Saccharomyces cerevisiae S288C: one gene and its partner. The gene in region 2 interacts genetically with the main gene of each other region. Each region holds a gene or a part of one and is shown on either strand. Other genes may lie near its edges.

The links.
Region 1: of CYC1 (region 2) and STO1, a mutation in one rescues a mutant of the other (synthetic rescue), as found in Saccharomyces cerevisiae (2 studies listed by BioGRID).

The regions. Positions count from the first base shown.
Region 1 is NC_001145.3:515,831-520,946, reverse strand, and holds STO1 (Sto1p), read right to left. Parts: upstream 3,409-5,116; coding exon 3,384-3,408; intron 3,062-3,383; coding exon 501-3,061; downstream 1-500. Other genes in the region: DLT1 (Dlt1p), read left to right, coding at 1-186; EPO1 (Epo1p), read right to left, coding at 3,660-5,116. UniProt on the Saccharomyces cerevisiae protein: Component of the CBC complex, which binds co-transcriptionally to the 5'-cap of pre-mRNAs and is involved in maturation, export and degradation of nuclear mRNAs.
Region 2 is NC_001142.9:521,694-528,952, reverse strand, and holds CYC1 (cytochrome c), read right to left. Parts: upstream 2,619-7,259; coding exon 2,289-2,618; downstream 1-2,288. Other genes in the region: ISY1 (Isy1p), read right to left, coding at 1-256; UTR1 (NADH/NAD(+) kinase), read left to right, coding at 477-2,069; ANB1 (translation elongation factor eIF-5A), read left to right, coding at 3,572-4,045; TAH11 (Tah11p), read right to left, coding at 5,091-6,905.

The DNA.
Region 1 (5,116 bases), on a different chromosome or scaffold from region 2:
TACTTTCCCGAACCGCCTACACATTTGGTTAGAGAAAGTAGCATAAGTACTGTCGCAAGGCATGTTTCATCAGGTGTAGATCTGACTAATTCTGAAGAACATCCTTTGGATACGGATTCTGATTGTAACGCCCTTCGTCTCAAACTTTCCAAAGCGGATAGTTATAGAAGTGTAATTCGTCATTAGAAACTCTGATCAATAGCATAGTGTAACATAGTGTAGCATACCATTCAGGTTGTATTATATACGCAACAACAATAAAATATTAATTTAATTATTGCGATGACAATTAAGTAAAGATGATTGAAGAAAACAATACTAACAAATTTTGAAGCATTTGTATTTACTTAATTTTAAATTTATTATTATAGGTACAGTTTCAATAATATATTTATATAAAGCTGATATTTTATATATAGGAAAATTACGCTAGGTATGTAACATTGATTAAAAATTAAAAAGCGGAGTGATAACGAATGTAGTCCATCCTCCGAATCTTTTTAAACTTCCTTTGTTTCTTGAATCCAATTCGAAATTGTTCTCCTAGTGGATTCGTGTGGAATAGCGTTATCAATGTTGGCAATGAATTTGTCTGCTAACTCACGATATTCGTGGGAATACCTTCTTAATATACTTTTAATAAACCCAATCACTGTAAAATATTTCCATTTCAAATCCAGTTTATCATCTTCAATATCGTCGATGTCCATTTCCCCGTTGACTTTAGGTATCTCAATATCTTCATCAGCATTGACATCTAGTAAGTCTATAGTACTGTTGGCGATGGTACATAATCTTTCGAAAACGAACTCAAAATTATTTCCACTTTCGTTCTCTTCCGAGATTTGTTGAGATAAATTTCTAAAGACCGCTTCAATTGCTGTAGCTTCAATCAAACCATTATTCTTCAAACCAGTTTCGTTAAATATAAATGTAAAAATGGTTCTGGAAGTAAGTAAACCTGCATATTTGAATGCATCTGCTACTAAGAAACCTGTCTGAGGGTTGGCGTTCCAAAATGTTAGGACGGCTTCAATTATGATATACTCTTTTGTCTCGATATCCAATTCAATCTTCGCAAATATGGTTTTGAGATCTTCTTTTAAATCATTAATATATTTATTAGCATGTGATAAAGATCTACTACCAGAGTCTGTAACGGCCTGGACTAACAATATGATAACAAATCTGTTAAAGTCGGAAATTATGGAACCATACTCATTCTTTAACTCACCTAGAATACTTTCTAATTCAGTAACTTCCCTAGAATTGTTTGCTTTGTGGGTATAATCTAAAATTTTACGGACTGTGTTTTCCATAGGTACACCTTCTTGTCTAAAATATAGATCATTTTTTCTAACGGAATCTTCTTCTACCGTATAACCGGTGAATAATGATTGATAGTAGTTAATCAGTTGATCTCTTGGAATGTAAGAAGTATCCAAATATTTCGTGAATTCTTGTGGTAGGCTGTCCTCTACTTCTGAAAAGTTAGAGGTCAATCGTAGTTCTTTTTGAATCAAATTTTTAGCAAAATTTACCTTTGGATTATAAAAATACTTGCCAAATTTGATCGAATCGTCTTCCCATTCATTCCACTTCCAAGAAAAATTAAAGTTGCTCATTTGAATTGAAAACCAGTCCAAATATCTTAATTTTAGTTCAAAATCTAATGAATCCAAATGACTATAAAAAAACCTAAAGGCTCTACCAAAGACAGGAGCAATTGCTTTTGGAGAATTTTGACAAATATCCACCAATAAAGTGTAAAAGTATGCAAAAGGCTGGGAAACACTAGGTAATTTAAAAATAAGTCCCAAAATGGTTTCAATAGCCAAATCTTCTATCTTAAATGTAGGAGCCAATGGGTTCTCTTCATAAGTGGCAATTAATTGGGCAATAGATTCACCAGGTTCTGTAAATATACCTGCTTTGAAAAAAAGATCCAAAGTTATCACTTGTCTAGCTACTTCCTTTCTATTGAATTCTAAACTTTCCACCAGATCAATAATGATATCGTTGAATAATTGACCAGCATAAGTGCTGATTGGTACAACTGTTTCGAAATTACCAGCGGAGTTTGGCAAGTAAACATGAAAAGCATACCTTGGTGTCTTCCACATGCTATCAACTGAACCAAAGTTTTTATTCAAGCGCACGAAAGACTTTAGATCATCTACTGATGGAAGGGTTAAAGCGTCATTGAACCCTTCATCACCGGTTTGGGGAGTTAATAAATGATTCCAATCAGGAAATAATTCATTCAGCTGTTCCAAGTTATTGATTAGCGCCTTCTTGACGTTTGGTAATACGACTCGGACAAGTTCTACCATTTCATATGGAGGTTCACCATTGTATTCTCTTAATAGGTTTATATCCGTTGTTTTAACTAGATAGTTTTGTTCAACGTATGCAAGTAACTCCTCCACTTTTGTCCTCAAACCGTCATTATTCCTATTAAAAAAGAACAAATACGGGATATTTAATAATGTATTGGTGTAAATTGCTTCAGATAAAGGAACTCTGTTACCTGGATCCAGATTGTTTAATTCGATACTCAATTCAAATAAGCTCTTGTAGATATTGATTAGTTCATCAACTAAAAACATGGGCGATAGAATGGATAAAAATCTCAGGATTAACTTGATCTTGTTCCATGGCCCAGTTTCATTTGACGTACTCTTGAATTCATCATTATATGTTTGCTTGCACCATTTTTGTAATTCTTCGAAGAAGTAATTGATAATACTCTTTCCGGCAACATTATTTTTCGAATTAACAACCATGGTTAAGAGAGCGATAGCAGCTTGCTTCTGTGGTTGCTCCACAACAACAGCGTTTAAAGTGCTCAGTAAAGCATTATTAAAGTAGTCCTCATGGCCATACTCATTCATTATAGCTTCACTCAAGAATTTGATATCATCTTCAAAAGCTTTAACAGATTCACCAATAGTGCGAATATCGGGCATCATTTCTTTACACAGTTGTACAACAGGTGGGATTCTCTGTCTTTTAGGCATGCGAGGCCTAAAATCACGGTAATTTTCATCTTCATCGAAGTCTAACGGTAAAATCATATGCAAGGTAGTCAAAGTTGGGTATGTTAGTAATTTGAATGAAACTGAATAATTGAGTTTTTGTAAAACCAAGCTAACCTAATAATCCTAGGAATGTAAAACAAAGTAAAGATGGAGAGTAAAATAAGAGAGGTTACTTGCCGTTATGTATTCTACGTGTACCGTTTCTCCACTTCTCTGTGCCACAAAAGTACACTTTTCTGTCACACCGTACTAACTGACAAAAAATGGAAATACCATCCTAATTGGTCTTGATATACACACTCTAGAACGAAACTTCTGGAAAACATTGGTTTTAAAACATACCTCCTCTTCTTTTTCTATTAAACATCTTAAATATATTTAAAATGCAATTGTAGCCCCAAACGCGTATACCAAAGTCGTTTTGATTAGCAATATACCTTCTGTCCTTCCTTTTTTACCCATTATACACTTTCACCTGTTGCTGAGTGTGAATTATATTTTTTTCAACTTTTTCAAGAACAATCTGAAAAAGCATCTTCTACGTGTAAAGTGATTTTATACTTACGTAGTATGATTTTGGTGCACTAAGCGATATATACAATAAAATACATCATTCATCTACTGTAAACGTCCTTTAAGCATTTCAATTTCTGAATCTCTCTCATCAATAAGTTTATTCAAGTTTTCAATTCTTCCTACTAGTTCCATAGAACTTGGTTTGGTGCCATTTTCTTGGAGTAATAACTGCTCCTCCGCAATGAATCTCTTTAATCTCTCGTCATTTAATTGCTGGATCAATTGCACAATTTTACTGGATTTTTTTCTCAGTTCCTTTTCAAAGTCAGAAAAAGACACACTCGAAGAATCGTCAAAAGATGGTGCTGAATTATTGGTTTCATACAGCCGTATTCTTTCTTCTAATTCAGTTTCCCTTTTTATCGATTCTGCTAATTCTGTAGACACCAGTGTCAACTCATTCATTAATTCTTTGTTTTCTGTTATCAAATTCAATTGCTCACCAGATATTGTTATCATCTTTGGCTGAGAGCTATCTTCTCCACTAGTTGATCCGGCGGAAGTTATGTCTCCTCTCCTAGCATATAACGGTTCATACGGTTTGGCTAAAGTATTATCAAAACTGAAGTCTTCTTCTGAAGCATTCATGCCATCCTTATCGTAGCTAACTGGGGCTGATTTTGTTTTGGAGGGTGAACCATCCATATGCGGTACAAAATTATCAGATTCTGAGGCGGAATCAATATTCAACGGCAGCGTATTGGAGATGAACGATCTACGGGAAGAGCTGGACATATGAGAAACTGCTGATAAATGACCATCGCGATTATTTTTTTTATATAGAAAAGTATCATTGTTGATGTTTTCCTGGTTCATGGATATGTTGACATTACTTAGTCTCCTGCCATTGCCATCGGATTCACGTCGCTTAATGGTAGCATCTGAGACATTTCTTTTGGGATCTCTTTCCGGTATGGATTGTAACAAAGAAGCCCTTTTACTAGTATTGAAATCAAAATCGACCTCGTTCGTTGTATTCATTTCGCCATTATCCGAATTTGAGTTATACTTTCCGGGAGAGGGGAATTCTTGTGCGGTCACGTATTCATTGATATCAGTAGAGTTTTCTAGCTTATACATACCTGTTCTGGTATTGATGATTCTTTGCTTGGAGGGAGAATCACTAAATGTGGATGAGAAAGTCGACAAGGACGCTCTATTGGCGACTGCACTTTCACTTTCCAATTTAAGATCTTTTAAACCAGTCTCTAGCGCACTCGCAGGTCTTAAATTTAAATCGTCTGATTCATGTGAAATTTCCTCCTCTTCATTTGCTTCAGTATTTTTCTCAGCTCTTTCCTTTTCTTTTTCTTCTACTAGTGCTTCTCTCTCACGTAAAGATTTTTCCATTTCAGCTAGCTTCCTTTCTTTTTCCTTTAACTCGTTTTGTTGAGGAGTGGATAATTGCAAAACATTCAGTTTTCCCTTGTTTTCAATAGGTTGATCAATGTTCACTTGTTTTTTTAGTGGTGAAGATCCTTGTTTTGTAGAGTTAGGCA
Region 2 (7,259 bases):
AAAGATTATTAAGTTCGTCGTTAAGTTCCGCAATCTGCATTTCATTTAAAGACGGATCATATATTCTTGTGCTTTTTTGTTTTATCTCTTTACTTACTTGTCGCTTCCATTCGTTGGCCTCTTTTATGGATTTTACCTTAGACACGTTCCTGGGCCTCTGGTAACGTGAATAATCCTTGTATCCACCTGCCGACTCTGCTTGCTGCTCTTGAAATCGTACCAGAACTGAGTTGGCCTTATCTACATTTCTACTCATTTTGAATGCACAGGTATCTGATTACTGATGTGGTGCGCCTTGCGATATAACGGTGTGTCACTTTTATTTGCTCTTTCATGCATCCTGAAATTATTTCACCGCACTACGCAAAGAGAACGGAGAAAAAGGTATAATAGGGCAAATGATCATTGACATCGTGATCGTAAGCCAAAAAAAAATACAATAGGCTCCCTAAATAAGTAGAGTAAAAGCTCTTGAGATGAAGGAGAATGACATGAATAATGGCGTAGATAAATGGGTAAATGAGGAAGATGGTCGAAATGATCATCATAACAACAATAATAACTTGATGAAGAAGGCCATGATGAACAATGAGCAAATTGATAGAACTCAGGATATCGACAACGCCAAAGAAATGTTGAGGAAAATATCAAGTGAAAGCAGCTCGCGCAGAAGCTCCCTGTTGAATAAAGATTCATCTCTCGTGAACGGCAATGCAAACAGTGGCGGTGGTACGAGCATTAACGGAACAAGAGGAAGTTCTAAGAGTAGTAATACACACTTTCAGTATGCCTCCACGGCGTATGGTGTAAGAATGTTGAGTAAAGATATATCTAATACCAAAGTGGAACTGGATGTGGAAAATTTGATGATTGTTACGAAACTCAACGATGTCTCACTGTATTTCTTAACAAGAGAGTTGGTAGAATGGGTTTTGGTACATTTTCCACGTGTGACTGTTTATGTGGATTCCGAATTGAAAAACAGCAAAAAATTTGCCGCTGGCGAGTTATGTGAAGATAGTAAATGTAGAGAATCAAGGATCAAGTATTGGACAAAGGATTTCATCAGGGAACATGATGTTTTCTTCGATTTGGTAGTGACTTTGGGTGGCGACGGTACTGTTCTTTTTGTAAGTTCCATTTTTCAGAGACATGTACCACCCGTTATGTCGTTTTCATTAGGGTCTCTAGGATTTTTAACAAATTTTAAGTTTGAACATTTCAGGGAGGATTTACCTCGGATTATGAATCATAAAATCAAGACAAATTTACGGTTGAGGTTGGAGTGCACAATTTATCGTAGACACCGCCCTGAAGTAGACCCAAACACGGGGAAGAAAATATGTGTGGTGGAAAAACTAAGCACACACCACATTTTGAACGAAGTGACCATCGATCGTGGTCCAAGTCCTTTTCTATCCATGTTAGAATTGTATGGTGACGGCTCATTAATGACCGTTGCGCAGGCGGACGGACTGATTGCTGCTACTCCGACTGGGTCCACGGCCTATTCTTTGAGTGCAGGTGGGTCATTGGTATGCCCAACCGTCAATGCAATCGCTTTAACACCCATTTGTCCACATGCATTGAGTTTCAGACCCATCATCTTACCAGAAAGTATAAATTTAAAAGTGAAAGTCTCGATGAAGTCAAGGGCTCCAGCATGGGCGGCTTTTGATGGGAAAGATAGAATTGAATTGCAAAAAGGTGATTTTATAACCATATGCGCCAGCCCATATGCTTTTCCAACCGTGGAAGCCTCGCCCGATGAGTTTATTAACAGTATCAGTCGACAACTAAACTGGAATGTGAGGGAACAACAAAAGTCCTTTACGCATATTTTGTCCCAAAAGAACCAAGAAAAATATGCACATGAGGCGAACAAAGTCAGAAATCAAGCAGAACCTTTAGAGGTAATAAGAGATAAATACTCTCTGGAAGCAGACGCTACTAAGGAAAACAACAACGGAAGCGATGATGAGAGCGACGATGAGAGTGTAAACTGCGAAGCTTGCAAATTAAAGCCTTCGAGCGTCCCAAAACCTTCTCAAGCAAGGTTTTCAGTATAATGTTACATGCGTACACGCGTTTGTACAGAAAAAAAAGAAAAATTTGAAATATAAATAACGTTCTTAATACTAACATAACTATTAAAAAAAATAAATAGGGACCTAGACTTCAGGTTGTCTAACTCCTTCCTTTTCGGTTAGAGCGGATGTGGGAGGAGGGCGTGAATGTAAGCGTGACATAACTAATTACATGATATCGACAAAGGAAAAGGGGCCTGTTTACTCACAGGCTTTTTTCAAGTAGGTAATTAAGTCGTTTCTGTCTTTTTCCTTCTTCAACCCACCAAAGGCCATCTTGGTACCAGGAATATATTTCTTTGGGTTAGTCAAGTACTCTGACATGTTATTTTCGTCCCACAACACGTTTTTCTTGATATTGGCATCTGTGTACGAATACCCTTCAGCTTGACCAGAGTGTCTGCCAAAGATACCATGCAAGTTTGGACCAACCTTATGTGGGCCACCCTTTTCCACGGTGTGGCATTGTAGACATCTAGTCTTGAAAAGTGTAGCACCTTTCTTAGCAGAACCGGCCTTGAATTCAGTCATTATTAATTTAGTGTGTGTATTTGTGTTTGTGTGTCTATAGAAGTATAGTAATTTATGCTGCAAAGGTCCTAATGTATAAGGAAAGAATATTTAGAGAAAAGAAGAAAACAAGAGTTTTATATACATACAGAGCACATGCATGCCATATGATCATGTGTCGTCGCACACATATATATATGCCTGTATGTGTCAGCACTAAAGTTGCCTGGCCATCCACGCTATATATACACGCCTGGCGGATCTGCTCGAGGATTGCCTACGCGTGGGCTTGATCCACCAACCAACGCTCGCCAAATGAACTGGCGCTTTGGTCTTCTGCCATCGTCCGTAAACCCCGGCCAAAGAGACCGGAAAGATCGGTGAAAACATCTTGATCTTGCTCCCGGGAATTTTAGATTCAGGTAGGAAATTGATTACATCAATACTGTTACCCTGAATCATATTCGACGATGTCGTCTCACACGGAAATATAATTCATTTCTTGGTTTTCCAAAAAAATTTTCATTTTTTTTCACTTTTTTGTTTCGTCCTCCTTTTTTTTTTTTTTTTTTTATTTTTTTTCCTGTGTTCACCTTTTTTTTTTTCAGTTGACATCTTTCTGCATTCTTTTCTGTGTTTTTTTTTTTTTTTTTCGTTTTTCCATTGTTCGTTCGTTGCCTGTTTTTTCGCCCTATTGTTCTCGAGCCTAAAAATTTTTTCCTTTCCTGCTTTCCTTTCTTCGTTCAAAGTTTCCTATTCCATTGTTCTCTTTGGTAAACTCATTGTTGTCGGAACTCAGATATATTCAGGTCAATTTACTGTACTTCAATTGACTTTTTTCTTGAAATTTCAACTTGCCTTTTCAACTTGTTCTTCTTTTTTAATCTTATTCTACACTTTAGTTCCCTTACCTTGTTCCTAATTATTGTCTAGCAAAAAGAAAACATACACCTATTTCATTCACACACTAAAACATGTCTGACGAAGAACACACCTTTGAAAATGCTGACGCTGGTGCCTCCGCCACCTACCCAATGCAATGTTCTGCCTTGAGAAAGAATGGTTTCGTTGTCATCAAAGGTAGACCATGTAAGATTGTCGACATGTCCACTTCCAAGACCGGTAAGCACGGTCACGCCAAGGTCCATTTGGTTACCCTTGATATCTTCACTGGTAAGAAGTTGGAAGATTTGTCTCCATCCACTCACAACTTGGAAGTTCCATTTGTCAAGAGAAGCGAATACCAATTGTTGGATATTGATGATGGCTACTTGTCCTTGATGACCATGGACGGTGAAACCAAAGACGATGTCAAGGCACCAGAAGGTGAATTGGGTGACAGCATGCAAGCTGCTTTCGATGAAGGTAAGGATTTGATGGTCACTATCATTTCTGCCATGGGTGAAGAAGCTGCCATCTCCTTCAAGGAAGCTCCAAGATCTGATTAGATATTTTAGATTTCTATAGCTTACAAAATACGCGATGTTTTTTTGATCTAGAAATCTTATTTATACATTTTATATAATATTATAATAATCATAATCATAATTATTCATCCTAACTAACTTCGTTCTGTTTCAGCTACGAAGTTGCCTTCATTATCGCTACGTTCGTGTTAATTGGTGTTTGATACCATAGTCACTTATGACGACGTGCAGAACTTTTTTTTTTGACGGATATTTTCCCCTCAATATGCCGAGGATGATTACTTTATAATTTGCCTTCTTTCGGTTCCTTCTTCTTTTTAATTTAGCTGACGGGAACATGTGTATATACCCCAGAAGAATTTAAACAGAAATTTTTTTGAGCATTTTACGAAAATATTAAAAACTAGGGCTACAGATATCAGAGAAAAAATTACTTATATGATGACAATAACTTAATATCACAGTCACTATCGTTCTCGCCTTTATATGCGCAGTGACAGCATTCGACTTTTCCTTGGAAGGGACCCGATCAACGAAACTTCAAAAAGAGTAGAAGTCAAAATATTTTTTGCACGACGAGGGTGACAGACCGTGCTATGTCCACAAATGAGGCCCTGCTTTCCCAAGATAAATTGCGTAAACATATAATTGTTACAAATCCAAGGCTCTGTGATTTCTTCACCAAGTGTAGTTGTGATGTATGATGTGTAGGATAAGTAATGACCGGTAAATCAAGCTGGTAAAAAGTCCTAATAACAAGCCCGAATCTGGAATAATGGTAATATTCCCATGCCAGGTGGACAGTGTTGTCCTTAAACAAACTCAAGAGATTAAAGGCAACTTGGCCGAGTGGTTAAGGCGAAAGATTAGAAATCTTTTGGGCTTTGCCCGCGCAGGTTCGAGTCCTGCAGTTGTCGTTATTTTTTATTTCCCTTTCTTTTCGTACATACACAATGCACAGTCTTCAAAGTAAAATACCAACGTATGTATCAAGATCAATTTTTTTTCTTTTTTTTTTTTTTTTACCGTAAATGTACGTATTCTACCTTATATCTAAAAATATTCTTCAATCTTGTTGTTTTGATTTGTGGATTTGCAACAGCTTAGAAAATCTGTTTTTATCCAAACTGTTCCATCTATAAACTTTTAACCCACCATCCACTTGATGAACAGATATGTCCATTGGTAGGATACCTTGTAGCCCAGCTAAAATTTCACTTGCTTCTTTTGTACCGATAGGATTATTACTATCTTGTAAACTATCTACGATTAGCGAGCTTAGATATGTCTCTGTATAAGGCTGGCCCCTGGTCAGCGAAAAAAGAATATCAAATACCTGAGTCATTTTCATCGCTAGAAACTGCTGGTAACGTTTTTGCCTTTGAGAAAGCAATGCGGCCGAACGTCTCTCTCTTTCACGCAGTCTGTCCATAAGGTTTGCTTGCGAATCAGGCATCTTCTCTTTGTACATGAAATTTTCCTTACTATTCGCCAAATATCTTGAGTTATTCAAGGCATTAGCATTAGAGCTCTTCGTTTGCACTTTACTGCTCAAGACTGTTTTAGAATTAGAGCTGGACCTTCTTTTATTTATTTTGAAAGCGGGTACATCAGTCATAATCTCATCCTTGGAAGCTATCACTTGTTGGTACCACGACTCTGCCCTTTCCACGAATGCCAAAGTCCTAGACTTATTGGTCAACGTTGTTAGATTGTCTCTTTTGGGTAGATTCATGGTCAGCTCCCCTCTAGAGTTCAGTTCCACTACGTATGCATCAGACCAAATGGTCAATAACTTCAAAATATCATCCTGCACTATTTTCCTTTTCATCATGCTGGATATCTGGGGTAACAAAACGTGCAGCTCTGGTGGGACGCCCGTGGATCTGGAAAGAGCGTTTAAAGACAATACAGTCTCGCAAACAGTAAACAACTCCTTAACAAACTTCATTGCGTCTTGGAGTCTTAGAATACTAAGCTCCCGTGGGTAGTATTGCTGAGCGACTTTTGGGAAAGCCTTAATTTGTTGCTCCAACAAATGATTGGCAATCGTACCCTCTCCTTTACTCGAGATTGGCGTAGTAAGTGGAGGCCAGATGGTCAACGAAACAATGTTCGCACGAGGATCTATCTGGAGTGGTGAGGTAGTGTGCATACCTTGAGACCAGCGCGCAAGGAGGGTCCCCGTGTGGAACAGAAGACAATCGGGTTCATCAATACTCACCCAAGAATTGTCCGTCGTCGCCATAGTCGATGGCTTGTACCTTATAGCCTTGGCACAGGGGAAGATGGTCAACACGCCCGTCGGAAGAAAAGTAACATAGTCCCTTTCAAACAGGTACTGGAAATCGTCGCCAGTGGGCAGCACGGTAGCACCTGCATCTGCACCATCGTGTGTACTACCATTATCATTGAAATAACGGGTCAGCTTAGTCGCATAATGAGAGGTGCTGATACAGTCTTGCAATTCTGCGCTAGAAACCACACTTTTCACACACAGTTGGGCGAAAAACAGACCCAGTTTGAACAGCCTACTATATATGGAGCACAGTGACTCATTCCTGCACTTCCGATCGAAGCGTAATTGAGGATCAGTGTCAAATATGTACTGCTCCAGCCAAACATCATCTTCTAGCGGTAATGTACCCGTAAAGTTCGCATCAAAACCTTGACTCGTGTCAGGCAGGTCCTTTGTCGTGAGCCCCGCTAGTAGTGCATCTAGAACAGCCTTGTTAGCATAATTTTTTAACAGAAAGGTGTCATGCTGTAGCAAAATTGCCCTCACCACCGGCAACAGCTGCTCTTCATCTGAAACTCTATTCAAATCTATCACAGGCACGCGCAAAACCTCCTTCCTCCTACTATTAGCTGTGCCACTCATAAATCACGACGCTACGTAGTTCAGCTCACTGTCATGATACCAACTACCGCAACTAACATCTGCTTATATTAAACTCTTCCGCATCATCGCAATGGTACAATGTGCTAAAGCTAGTGCCTTAGATGCGCTGAATAATTGTATATCACCCACAACGGCAGAGCTTTTCCATGGGCTTCGGCCCGGTTCCACCGCCCCCTGCCTCTTTTTCCGGTGACCGCTTACGGTGCGGTGTATAAAAACGAACGATCCAACGCCGGCTCGACGCTTGGGAACTTTTGGGTTCTTTGTTCCACGTTTGAAAACTCCATACGTTGCTGTCCTCCTCTGCCTGCTGTACATATCGACGCCCCGCTG